Drosophila melanogaster: one gene and its partner. The protein of the gene in region 2 purifies or fractionates together with the protein of the main gene of each other region. This does not show direct contact. Each region holds a gene or a part of one and is shown on either strand. Other genes may lie near its edges. The genes, in order: CG3708 and FBXO11.

The links.
Region 1: the proteins of FBXO11 (region 2) and CG3708 purify together in Drosophila melanogaster (affinity purification with mass spectrometry, with the first as the bait; one large-scale study listed by BioGRID). This does not show direct contact.

What each region holds. Positions count from the first base shown.
Region 1 is NC_004354.4:928,298-932,019, forward strand, and holds CG3708 (uncharacterized protein), read right to left. Parts: upstream 1,802-3,722; 5' UTR 1,688-1,801; coding exon 599-1,687; 3' UTR 501-598; downstream 1-500. Other genes in the region: MED22 (mediator complex subunit 22), read left to right, coding at 1-30, 87-188, 253-470; CG3706 (uncharacterized protein), read right to left, coding at 2,731-3,722.
Region 2 is NT_033777.3:9,803,070-9,811,030, forward strand, and holds FBXO11 (F-box protein 11), read right to left. Parts: upstream 6,300-7,961; 5' UTR 5,614-6,299; coding exon 3,451-5,613; intron 3,350-3,450; coding exon 3,169-3,349; intron 3,106-3,168; coding exon 2,031-3,105; intron 1,950-2,030; coding exon 1,820-1,949; 3' UTR 417-1,819; downstream 1-416. Other genes in the region: CG8526 (uncharacterized protein), read left to right, coding at 1-341.

The DNA of each region.
Region 1 (3,722 bases), on a different chromosome or scaffold from region 2:
ACGTTCGCAGCATGCTGGAGAATTTTGAAGGTAAGTGCGGCTCAGTTGCTCCGAGCAATAGATTGTAATACCGTGTTCTCCTCCAGAAATACTCAAGCTGGCGCGCCGTGAGAGCCACAGCCAGATTTCGAAGACCACGCAGTGCGAACAGGATGCCCTGGAAATGCAGGTCCGCGCGGCCAACATGGGTGAGTAAATCCACTCCCTGGGAACCAGATTCGAGCCATTTCCTTCATGCATTCCGCTTTATAGTCCGTGCCGGCGAGTCTCTGATGAAGCTGGTGGCCGACCTAAAACAGTACCTAATCCTCAACGACTTTCACTCGGTCAACGAGGCCATCACAAACAATTCGCAGCTGTTCAGGAACACACAGAGCGAGTGCGACAAGAAGCTGATGAAACTTAGGGACGAAATGGCCATGGACTTGTACGACCTGGAGGAGGAGTACTACACCAGCATTTTTAAGTAGCGCTAGGAGGGGAAGGGGTTCACCTTATTTGTGATGAACTGGCTTTGGCCGAACTGTAGAATTTAATAAGAAATCATTACCACATTCACTTGTAAATTTTGTTTAGCAAACAGCTAGTCGCGTCGCACTCACAAGACCTGCTCCTGTTCCGCCTCCGAGGACAAGGAGCGACTGTCCGGAGAGGCCGCGCTCAGGCTGTCAACTAGGTCGCCCGTGTAAAAGAGCACCGCCTTCGGGACGATTTGGGTGCGTAGCAGGAAGCCCACTTCGAAATCGTTGCCAAGGATCAGCTTGGTCTTTTCATCCGCGAGCGACAGGTCCAAGGCCTGCGGCGGAGCAAAGAAGCGAAAGAAGGACTCCCGAGGCATGACCTTGGTGACTCGGTGTGCTCTGTTCCTTCGCCTGCTTTCCACCGTTTGGAGAGTGAGATTGGAGCCATCGCGCCAGTGGATGTGGCAGCCTTCGCAACGAACTATTTCGGGCCCTTCGAACAGAAAGGGATACTCCGGGTCCGCCGAGTGCTGCAGAAAGTAGCGCTTCGTGAGCAGCAGCGAGGAATCGTGCAGGAAGCTATTGGGCCGAAACTGAAAGATGACCATGTAGCTGTCCTGGTCGTAAGCCAGGCGCACATCCATTAGGCTCTCCAGAAGCGGCTCGTCGTGATCCTGGACCAACTCCGAGAGCAGGGGCACGTTCTGGAAAACTGTCAGCCAAAAGCGTGGAACACCCAGCGTAGTCGGCGAAACCGGAGCCAGTTTTTGCCTCAGCTGTCGCAGCTCCTCGTTGTTCCCGAAGTCCAGGTACAGAGCATCCTGCGGGTCCTCGGGCCAGGTCTTCTCCGTTTGGATCGGTGGCTCCACCGAACCCTCCAAAATATCCCGCCTCGCATCGAAGAGCGCGCAGCTCTGGCCGTAGAAACGTCGCTCCAGCTCGTAGACTTCCCGGAAGAACTGCTCCGAAATGCGTACCTGTTGCAGCTGATTGTGCCGCAGTGCCCGTATGCGGTTCTGCACGGGCTCCGCCAGCTGGCCGATCATGTGCCGCAGAAAGGCCTTCCGGCTGCGGGCGGGAAGGTCCGCCGGACTCAAAGCCGGCTCTGTGGACTCCTGGGTATATGTGCCCAGGGAGCGCAAGGACCCGCTGATGCCGTCTGCCCTCGACTCCGTGTGGCTGTCTTCCTGGGTAACCCCCTCCGCGCTGTCAGCCATCCCAATCATTGTGCAATTCGGTGCAATAACTTCGAAATTTGGCAACATATATGTATATAAATCTACAAGTATATTCCAGCTCTGCGACTGGGCACTTGGAAACTACTATGCTAGATCAAAGCTGTTCCTTGATTTCCACAGAAACCGGCCTACTACTGGGAACGAAAATTCGGCTGATGATTCCTTGGATTTGCCCAGAAGCAATCGCATTTTTGATTACAATAACTGCGTAATCTAACAAATAATTTCGCCTACGAGGAATACCACTTCAGAGTTACGTGCATAATTAATGAAGGCGAATTCCAGAAACAGTGCATGATTTGCCGAATTCCGGGCAAATCGGTGGCCAATATCTGTCGGCGGTTGCGTTATCGGAGCTACCTGCTCATGAGCCCAGATATGGGCTGTGGACTGGACACTGAAGGGAGGGTCATGCCCGGCACTTATCGGCCCACCATAAGCTGACATTGCGGCAGGTCGGAACCGGACGGCAGCATAATGCTCCATTCAGATCCCGAGCATGGTTTATTTTGTTGGATTGAAGCTATCTGCCCCGCCGCTCGCCTCTTATCTGCGACACCTGGGCACTTGGGCCCAGTCTTGGTGCCTGGTCTTGGGTTTTATTGGCCCGACGGAGCGATAAGTGGGGCCCGTTGTCTTTTGGGTGCCATAAACCGATGGCCCGAATCGCCATTATTTATTGGGAGAAAAACCGAAGTAGCTGTCCAATCTAATCCGTTCGTCTGTCGCATGCTAATTTATGGGCGACTAATCCTCACGGGGGGTCCAATTCCTCCACCAGCGATTCGGTAATCTTCCTCATCGACCCGAGTCCACCAGATTGCAGCTGCACCGGATGGCCTCCAGTGGATATTGCTGTTGGATTGTTGGTTAACTGAATTAGTTTGGACTTACCGATGACATCAGCGCGGCCAATGACTTCAGAATCTCGAATGTCATTCAAACAAAATCTCTTTATTTTGATAGGATGGGTCTCCCCCATACTTTTACATGCTATCTTAAACTGAAAACAAAAACAATTCGTCGGCGTCCTAGAAGATGAAGTCTTCGTCCTGGCCCTCCTCTTCCAGCAACGAGAGGCTTCTCTCGAAGCGCTTGATGTCCTGGTACCAGCCGGGGTCCCCGGACGATATATCCTCCGGCCTGCCGCCCTTGTGGCGGTACAGGAACTCGGCGTGGCCCTGGCCGGGAACTCCGTTGACCGTGCAGGCCACAAACTGGTTGAACACCTTAGACTCCCAGTCGCCGCCGACGTAGCGCAGCGCGGAGGCCTCCACCTGGATTTGCACGAGGTACTCCCGCTCCTCGGTGCGCACAATGAAATTCTGGTGCTGCGGCGGCGTTCCCTTTTCGCCGTACGAGTACAGCTCGAAGTTGCTCCCGGTCAGCGGCTGATACTGCCGCTCGGGGCTGCACACGTAGCCCACCTTCAGGGAGGACAGGAAGAAGGACGGCTGACTGAGGCTGCCCACCACCATGCTGCTGCCATCGTCCATAAAGAGGGCAAAGTACACGTACCGGTTGATGGAGCTTAGGCAGCGCTCGGTGCCGAAGCTGTGGTCCCGGAAGCCCACCATTTTCAGCGCCAGCTCCTTGCCATCGAGCGTGACCTGGCCGGCCAGTTCTCCGTTCTGTTCGTAGTGGGTGCGCTTCTCTACGATGTGGTTGACGCTGCGCAGCAGGCTGTAGAACTTTTCGTTCCAGGCCTCTCTGGCTATGGAGTCGGCTATCAGGGCGCTGCTCAGATCTCTGTTGTAGTCGAAGTGCTCAGCGGAGGAGCTTTCGAAACGGAGGTCCAAGTCCACGGCTACGTCCTGCACGTCCGGCCCTTGAGTTTTCAGCAGTCCGGAGTACTTGAGCCGCCACACACGCATAGATGCCTCCTGGTAGACGTGGAAGCCTCCACCCTGGAACGCGTTGCTCTCCGCTCCATCCGCGGTGGTGAAGTATACCATATCGGGCAGATTCGGCGAACTGAACAGGCCGCTTTCGGGAAGCCACAGGTACAGTGCCGCCTTGAGGA
Region 2 (7,961 bases):
GCGCCAAGCTGAACGATCAGCCGCTGGTCCAGGCGGAGCTACTACGTGCCCTTACCGAGCGGGGCAAGATCAAGCGATTGGAGTCATTTCGGCTAGCCGGAGCCAATCTCACGCTGGCTGATCGGACTGGACGAACGGCTCTGCACTACGCCTGCCAGTTAGGTAATCACGAGGTGGTAGACTATCTGCTGCCGCACTACGAGAATCCCTACATCAAGGATGAGCTGGGCATGTCGCCAATCGACTACGCCAAGGCAGCCAATCATGCCCACATCCTGACCCTGATGCGTTTCAAGGAGAAGGAGCTGGCCAAGAAAGATCCGTGTTCCTGCACGCAATAGAAGCACTTTTAGCAATGTCTGTTTCTAAATTCCAAATTAAAAACTTATCTCAACCTCTTTTCTTAATTTTTTTTTGTCAAATTTCAAATATTAGCTTATACCTTGTGTATATAATATAAGTATGTATATTTAGTTGTTTGTCCAAGTCAAGGGCGACGTTATTTGCTTGCATAGGTAACACATTAAAATCAATTTCTACATAGTATAGTCGCACGTCGAGGACGCACTTAAATTTTTGTTAGTAAAACAATACAATCGGATGTTCGTATATTTCATATAGTTGAATATAGAATATAGTATGCAGTATTTATGTGGTTATTTGATCCGTACAGCGATAAATGGCCTACGATGGTGAACCGTTGCGGAAAACACGGGCAAACAAATATAAATAAAATGTAAGGCAATAAAAACAAAATACTTAATTCACACACGCAGTTATCGGATAATGTCATCTATGCAATAGTTATGGGTTTTGCGTTACTTACACCTAGGCTACTACAGACTTAAATTATAAAAATGATTCGCATAATTCGAATACTCGGCCCGAAGACAAACTAAATACTAAACTTTTCATCAACTTACTGAACTAAAATGACACATGGCTTGTTTCTATTTCTCGCTTAAGTTTGAGCTACAAATTTGTTCTACAACATTTAGACATGAAATATTGCTTGGTATTTTACGCTTGGTAAAAGGCTTTTGATTTTGTATGTTGTCCGTGTGCTGCATCCGTAGAATTCTCATGAATATATATATATATATATATATATATATATAAAGTGTGCTGTATATGCTGTATAATTATGTTATGTGTTTACTATACTCGTATATTCATAGGTTAGTTTGCTGAAGCATTGGCTGCCGCTAATCTAGTTTGTTGTTAATACTTAGAATTGCTTTCTTCGAATTGTTGTTAGTCAGGAGGGGGGACATCTTACTCGGTTCGCCTGTGTATGTGTAAATCGCTTATGAATATATCTTATGCCTACACGTAGTTTATGTTAATTGATGTACTTTTAAAATCTCTACTAATCTACATTACAAAATTGTTTTTCACTGGGTTTTCGAGAGGGCTCTATCGCGCCTCCTTCGTTTACATTTTGACGTACAAACAAATGCATTGTGTATTTAAGGTGTTGCTCCTCTTTTTAGTTTTTCATTCGTTGTGACATAAATGGGAAAAGTTTCAGTGGTTTTTGCATTGATTTATCCGTAACATACTCAGTTAAAAAGTGAAAACTTTGCGTGTGAGTTCGTGTTAAACTAAATTGCACATTGAGTAAAATTTTGAACGCAAGAATAATTAGTTATTATTTACATACAATTAATTGTATTGTGTATAGTTTTTTTTTTTGTTTGTTGGGTTTGGGTTTCTTTTGAATATTTACAGCAACGCGTGAGATGTGCGAGAGATTTGAGAGATTGGCCTTAACGACTTAAGATATATCTATAGTGGATTAGCTGCCGTTGGGGGTTCTCTAGTTGACCATCAGTGTGTGTGATTCCATGGGGGCTGCCGAGTCGTAGAGTGTGTCCGTGTCCTGAGTGGGTTCGCCCTGCAGTTGACACTGATTGGACAGGGTGCCAGCACCGCAGTCGCAAAAGAAGCTGCAAGATATATAAAAAAAATATATTATTTATTTATAAAATATAAAAATACAATGTATTAGTTCTTCTCTGCTCACTTACCGATCGTGTCGTATAAACTCGACGTCATGACCAGCATGACAATTCTTAATGCAATTGACGCATATGGCATTGCGGTCGGTTGTGTTGCAGGTCTGGCAGCGGTAGAAGTCGTGCATGGGAAAGGAGGTGTAGCTGCTAATCTTGTACAGGCACTGCCCGCTGGATACGGCCTTTTCCACCTCGTCCTCGTTGTTGAAGATGTTGTTGCCCCGCGTTATGGGCTGAACGCCGCTGGCTAGGCACAGCCCACCAAACTTGTTCTTGAATATCTGATTATGCTCAAGCGTGGCGGTGGCATTGTTGGTTATCTCCACGCCCGCCGCTTGGCCATCGTAAATGCGATTCCGTCGCAGGATTGGGTGGGATTGTGTCGAGATGAGTACACCGGCCTGTGTGTTGCGGAATATATCGTTTTCCTCAAGGATGCCCTTGCCGCCGTTGAAGATGCAGATGCCGCCATCACGACCGTCATAGATCTTGTTGCGCTTTAGCGTCGGATTGGAGTCCGTTTTAATCCAAACACCGGCCATGGCATTGTCGAATATCTCATTCTGCTCCAACAAGCCCAGACCACCATTATACACCAGTACTCCACCATTCTGTCCGCCCCAGATCTTGTTGCCGCGTATTACTGGATTGCTGCCCGTGCGGATTTGCACTCCCGAGTACAGGTGGTTGAATATGTCATTGTCCTCTAGCTTTCCATGCCCGTTGTCATAAAAGTAGACTCCCACTTGCTTTCCCGAATGTATTCGATTGCGTCGCAATACTGGAGTGCTCCCAGTGGTTATCCACACGCCAGCCAGTGTATTGGAGTACACCTCGTTCTCCTCTATCAGCCCTTGACCCTTCTCGTGTACATATATGCCGCCGTGTTGGCCATGATGGATCTTGTTGTGACGCACTATGGGATCACTATTGGTGCGAATTTGAATCCCTGCCAGAGCATTTCCGTAAATGTTATTGTGTTCGATAAGACCCCGACCCTCGCCAAAGATGTACACTCCTCCTTGGTGTCCGTTGTAGATCTCGTTCTTGCGGATCGTTGGATTGCTGTTGGAGGTTATCCAGACACCTTGACGACAAAAAGCGTGTGTTAGATACCATTAATGATCTAGTTCTGGCATTGTTAGCTTACCTGCAAAATTATTTGAATGAATTCGGTTCTCTATGAACTGACCAAGTCCGTTCTCGTGCACATAAATGCCGCCCGTCTGGCCATGATGGATTTCACACTTAACCACGGTAGGATTGGCTCCGGCCTTAACCTCGAAACCAGCTATACGATTGTTGTGGATATCATTCTTCTCAAAGTAGCCCTAAAAAAGGATATCAAACATTAAAATAGTTAATATGATGTTAATGTTATATTCCAAATGAATTACAATGAGTTGTGGTAATACAATTAGCTTCAGCTTACCATTCCATTTTCGAAGGTAAAAATGCCCACATCCCGACCGTGGTGTATGTGGTTCTCTCGCATAATCGGACTGGCGAAGTTCTTAACCCAAATGCCCGCCAGTGCGTTCCGGCTGATCTCGTTGTGCTCGTATGTTCCCTGGGCGTAGTCGGTGACGTATAGACCTACATTTTCGCAGTCGCTGATATCGCAGTTTCGAATGACGGGATTGGCGTTGACCCCGCCCACACAGACGGCAGCACCCACCACCGAGGTAGAGCGAATGATGCAATTGTCCACAGTTGGAGAACAGTTCTCGCCGATGTCCAGGCAGTAGTGCTTGTGATGCGATACTGTTGATGTAACTTCAGGCGAAAACTTGAGTGTGAGGTAACCCACGTAGGCGTACTTGGCCCCCTCTACAAACATCACAGTGGATCCGGCCTCCCGTTCCAAGATCACTGATTCGGCAACGTTGCCAGGCGCTGCACCAACAAGTGCCACGTCCGAATCGATGAACAAATATTCCCCCTTGTAATGACCAGCATGTAGGAATATCAATGGTCCAGGATGCTCGGTCGGAGCCACTTGTTCCTCATAGATGTTGACCAGTGCGTTAACGCTGGCACCACCGACTCCCGCTGACGCACTTGTGTTGGACAGTCCGGCGGATACCACATTGCCGGCTCCTGCACCGGCTGGCACAAAAACTCCTGCAGCCGCTCGCTCTTCTGGGTAATCCAGAGCCGCCTGAATGGTGTTGAAGAACACAATACTACGGCCAGAGCTGCGACGCTCCTGGTAACCGGGACGCACGTGCACACCGCGGTACAGCTGGCGGAAGCTCTCTTTCCACGGATTAGCGTACTCCGACTCTTCGGGCTTCTCAAACACGAACTTGCACAGTTCCGGGTTGAAGAGCGGCAGGTCGTACTCAAAGACAGACTGATAGAGACGCTTCCACAGCTCCGTGTCGTTGGCAATGGTGTTAAAGCGCTTACATACAAGCGCCAGCCGGCATAGGTCCTGTTCCATAAGATACGAGAAGATGGCCAGCAGTACCTCGTCGGGCAGTTCATACTGAAGGTACTGGGCCGCTGTGGGCGCACAACCTGCTCCGCCGGACGCAGCTGTTCCAGCTCCGGCTGCTTCACCTGTGGCACCTGCAGACGGTCCCATCTCTCCGCCTTGTGTGTAGAGGCGTCGAGATCTTTTCCTAGCCGGCAGCATGTAGTTATTATCCTCGATGGCAGCGCCAACCGGCAGTGCTCCACAATGCTGTTGCGGCACCGAACTGTGGACATTGGGTGGCTGCGCCAGAGTGGCTCCAGTGGTGGGTGCATTGTTCACCGGAAAGGTGGCGCTGGTCGAGGGCGCCTGAACATTGGACGAGGAGCTCGAGGACGAGGCGGACGAAGACGACGAGCTAGAGGAGGAGGACGATGAGGAGCTGGAGGGCGAGGCACCCGGATTAACCAGTGGCGGGGAGCTGCTCGATGGTCCCACGAGTATTGCGGCAGCTGCTGCCACGGCGGAAGATGAACTAGTGGGCCACTGTTCGTGGCTGCTAGCGGAGATCTTTCGGCGCAAGTCGTACGGGCTCTGGTGACTACTTCCGGCAGAAGCGGAGGCTGCAGCTGCTGCGGCGGCCGACGTGCTTGCCGTACTAGATCCGACTGTGGCGCAGGTGGACTTCGAAGCGGTGGTGGAGGAGGCTCCTAATGCCGGTGGCGTTGACTGGCTGGTGCCGGCGCCCGAACTCTCAGTGGTGTCCATCATTTGCAGGGCATTGTAAAAGCTGCCAGAGAAGCCCGATGAAGCTGCTCCGCTGGATCCACTAGCTCCTTGGCCGCTGTCAAAGTACTCTGCAGAACTAGAGGCTCCTGCTGCAGTAGGTCCGGCGGCTGATGCTGCCGCCGCTGCAGATCCGGATGTGGAGGTGGCGCCACTGCTTCCGCTACTGCTGGCGTTGTTGTTGCCAACGCCACCAGCCCCGGAACTACTGGCGGCATTGCTGTTGGAACCGGATGCACTGGCTCCCGCACCGGCGGCGGTCACGTTCTGCTGAAGCATGGGGTCCATAATGTTGCCCGTCGGCCGGTTGGGCATTGCTATCCGGTTGGCTCCTTTCCGTCGGGAGCGGCGCACGTAGGTGCGCGATGAGGTGAATGAGGCGCTCGGCATCTTCGCTTCACCTGCCCAGCGATGATCAGTTTTCCACGAGTTAATCAGACCCAAAGACTTTTGCGTTTGAGTTTTCACAGTTTTCCAACCCCATATGCACACGCACTCACACTGGCATACACACACTGCCACATGCACATGCACAATTTGGCGACGACTTTTCGCTCTTTCTCTCGTTCCCCTCACTTCGCTTTCGATGTGGAGTGCCACCGATCGGTTCGGATTGGCTGGCTATATCCTTGGACCCTTCGATTGATTGTTAATTTAGCTACATTTGCTAAAGTTTATCCGTCTGCTGACTGCTCTTCTTATTGCTAGCGAGTGCATGTGTATGTGTGTGCGAGTGTGCCTTTTTCGGGGTTTCTATCCTTTGTCTCTCCTTTGTTTTGTTTTATTTGGTTAGAAGAGCACCGCTAGCGTACACGCTGGTCTGCTCCGTCTCGCTCACTCATTGTTACTCCGTCTCCCCTTTAATTCGTCTTCGCAGCAGACACTCTGATTTCTTTTCGCTTGTTTCGCGGTCCAAATAAACACTTTTCACAATGCAAATACGCAAGTTCTATCCAATAGCTTGTGCACTTGACACAATTGAACACTTTTATTCCAAAATTTCAGAAGCGAAACCACCTATACTCGGAGTTTTAATTTTAGCGTTGAGAGTGACCGCTGCTCGACTGATGGAAAATACCAGCTAGCAACGGAAAAAAACCGACAGCGCCTTAAAGACGTTTGGTATTTTTTGGCATCGTTTTTGTGAAATCGATTTTAATATCGATGAAATTGATATCTTTTTGGCGCGTATTCAAATGCTTCGTGTCTATTTTAAATTATAATGCACAATTAAATGTATGCTTTTACCGCGTTCATAAATCTTAAACATTTTAAATTTTATAAGTTTTAAATGTTTGCATTAAGTTGTACTGATTTTGGGAGCGCGTGGTAAACAGCCAACATGCAACCAAACACATCAGCTGCAGCATATCGACAATTAAGGCCGCGTCACGCCTCCTTTGGGTATAAGTTTCATTGTTCACCTGCTTGTCATTGCCGTTTTGCGCCATGTTTTGACTGCTTCATTGAACGAGTGCCCAACATTGAACTTCGCACACGCGATTGCATCGACTATGGGAAATTGAACTTAAATGTTTCTTTTACTGAACTTGTGACCCAAATGCCAAAAGGCACGTGTCAAATGTTAAGCATACTTTTTATATAAATAGCACTCTTTGGAGTTCGCTGTCCAGCTGGATTCCAATTATTAAACTTAAAAGTTACAAAAATCAGACGTAGTTTCGAAATAAAACTAATTAGAGATAAGAAATAAATAATTTTTTTTTGTTTCAATTTAATTGTGTAGCACCGTATTTGACACTCTCAATATACAAACAAATTGAAAAGAGTTAATCTTAGATTTTACTTTATTCGTTCACTTTTATAGTTGAAACATGGGCCATACAGCTGCCCTAAGATGATTTGTTAATCATTTGTTTATAGTTTTTCTCGACCTATTCGTTGTGTCCTCGTCCACTCGTCGTTTTCCGTAATTTTTTTCCGGTTTTCGCCACTTAAACCAGCTTGTAGTTACGAGTGTTGTTTTGGTCTGCGCTTTGTGGTGCCCATTTAGAGGTTCTACTTCCTTTACATTCCCTCACCCGGCGTGAATGATAATGGCATACGCATCCCTTTGGTCCGACGCCACCGAAAAGGGGGGTGGGTGGGTTGACTATGGCCATATGTTCTCGGGGGGTCTGGTGTCCTGTACTCCCCGGCATCTCCTCGCCGCTGACCTCAATAATAATTTCGTCTAATTGCTTCGTAATTATGCCGCGCACATGCTTTTCTTGATTCGCCCGTTGTTGGTAATTCACTTGGCCCCCACGGTTACCTTCCTATCTTCGCTGGTGCGTGCTCTCCTCTCCTTTGAGCTCTCGAGGATGTGAACGTGAATGTGGGTGGCCTCAAGTGGGCGGTGGTCGGTGGCCTCCGGTGGGTGGAAGCGTCCGAGTCAACCATTTTCGCATATTATTATTTGTCTCCTTTGTTTTGCGCAATTTTTCGTCATTTGCTTCATTTTCTGTCATTAGAGGCATTTAACTTTTTGCTGTTTTGCCTCTTTTCCGATTTGCCTTCATTATTCAGGCGGCCGCCAGTGCCAGTGCCAGTTTTCGCATTTCGGATTCAGGCCGACGAAAAAACTGAGCAAATGGATTTTCCTGTGGTCAAGCTGAAAGCAGGGCAAAGGTGGACAATTAAATTATTATTGCCGCGATATTTAGTCGTGTAAACAACATTAATGTGTCGAAAATAATAACCACTACCATATTCTTTTAAAACTTTTACTTTTACTT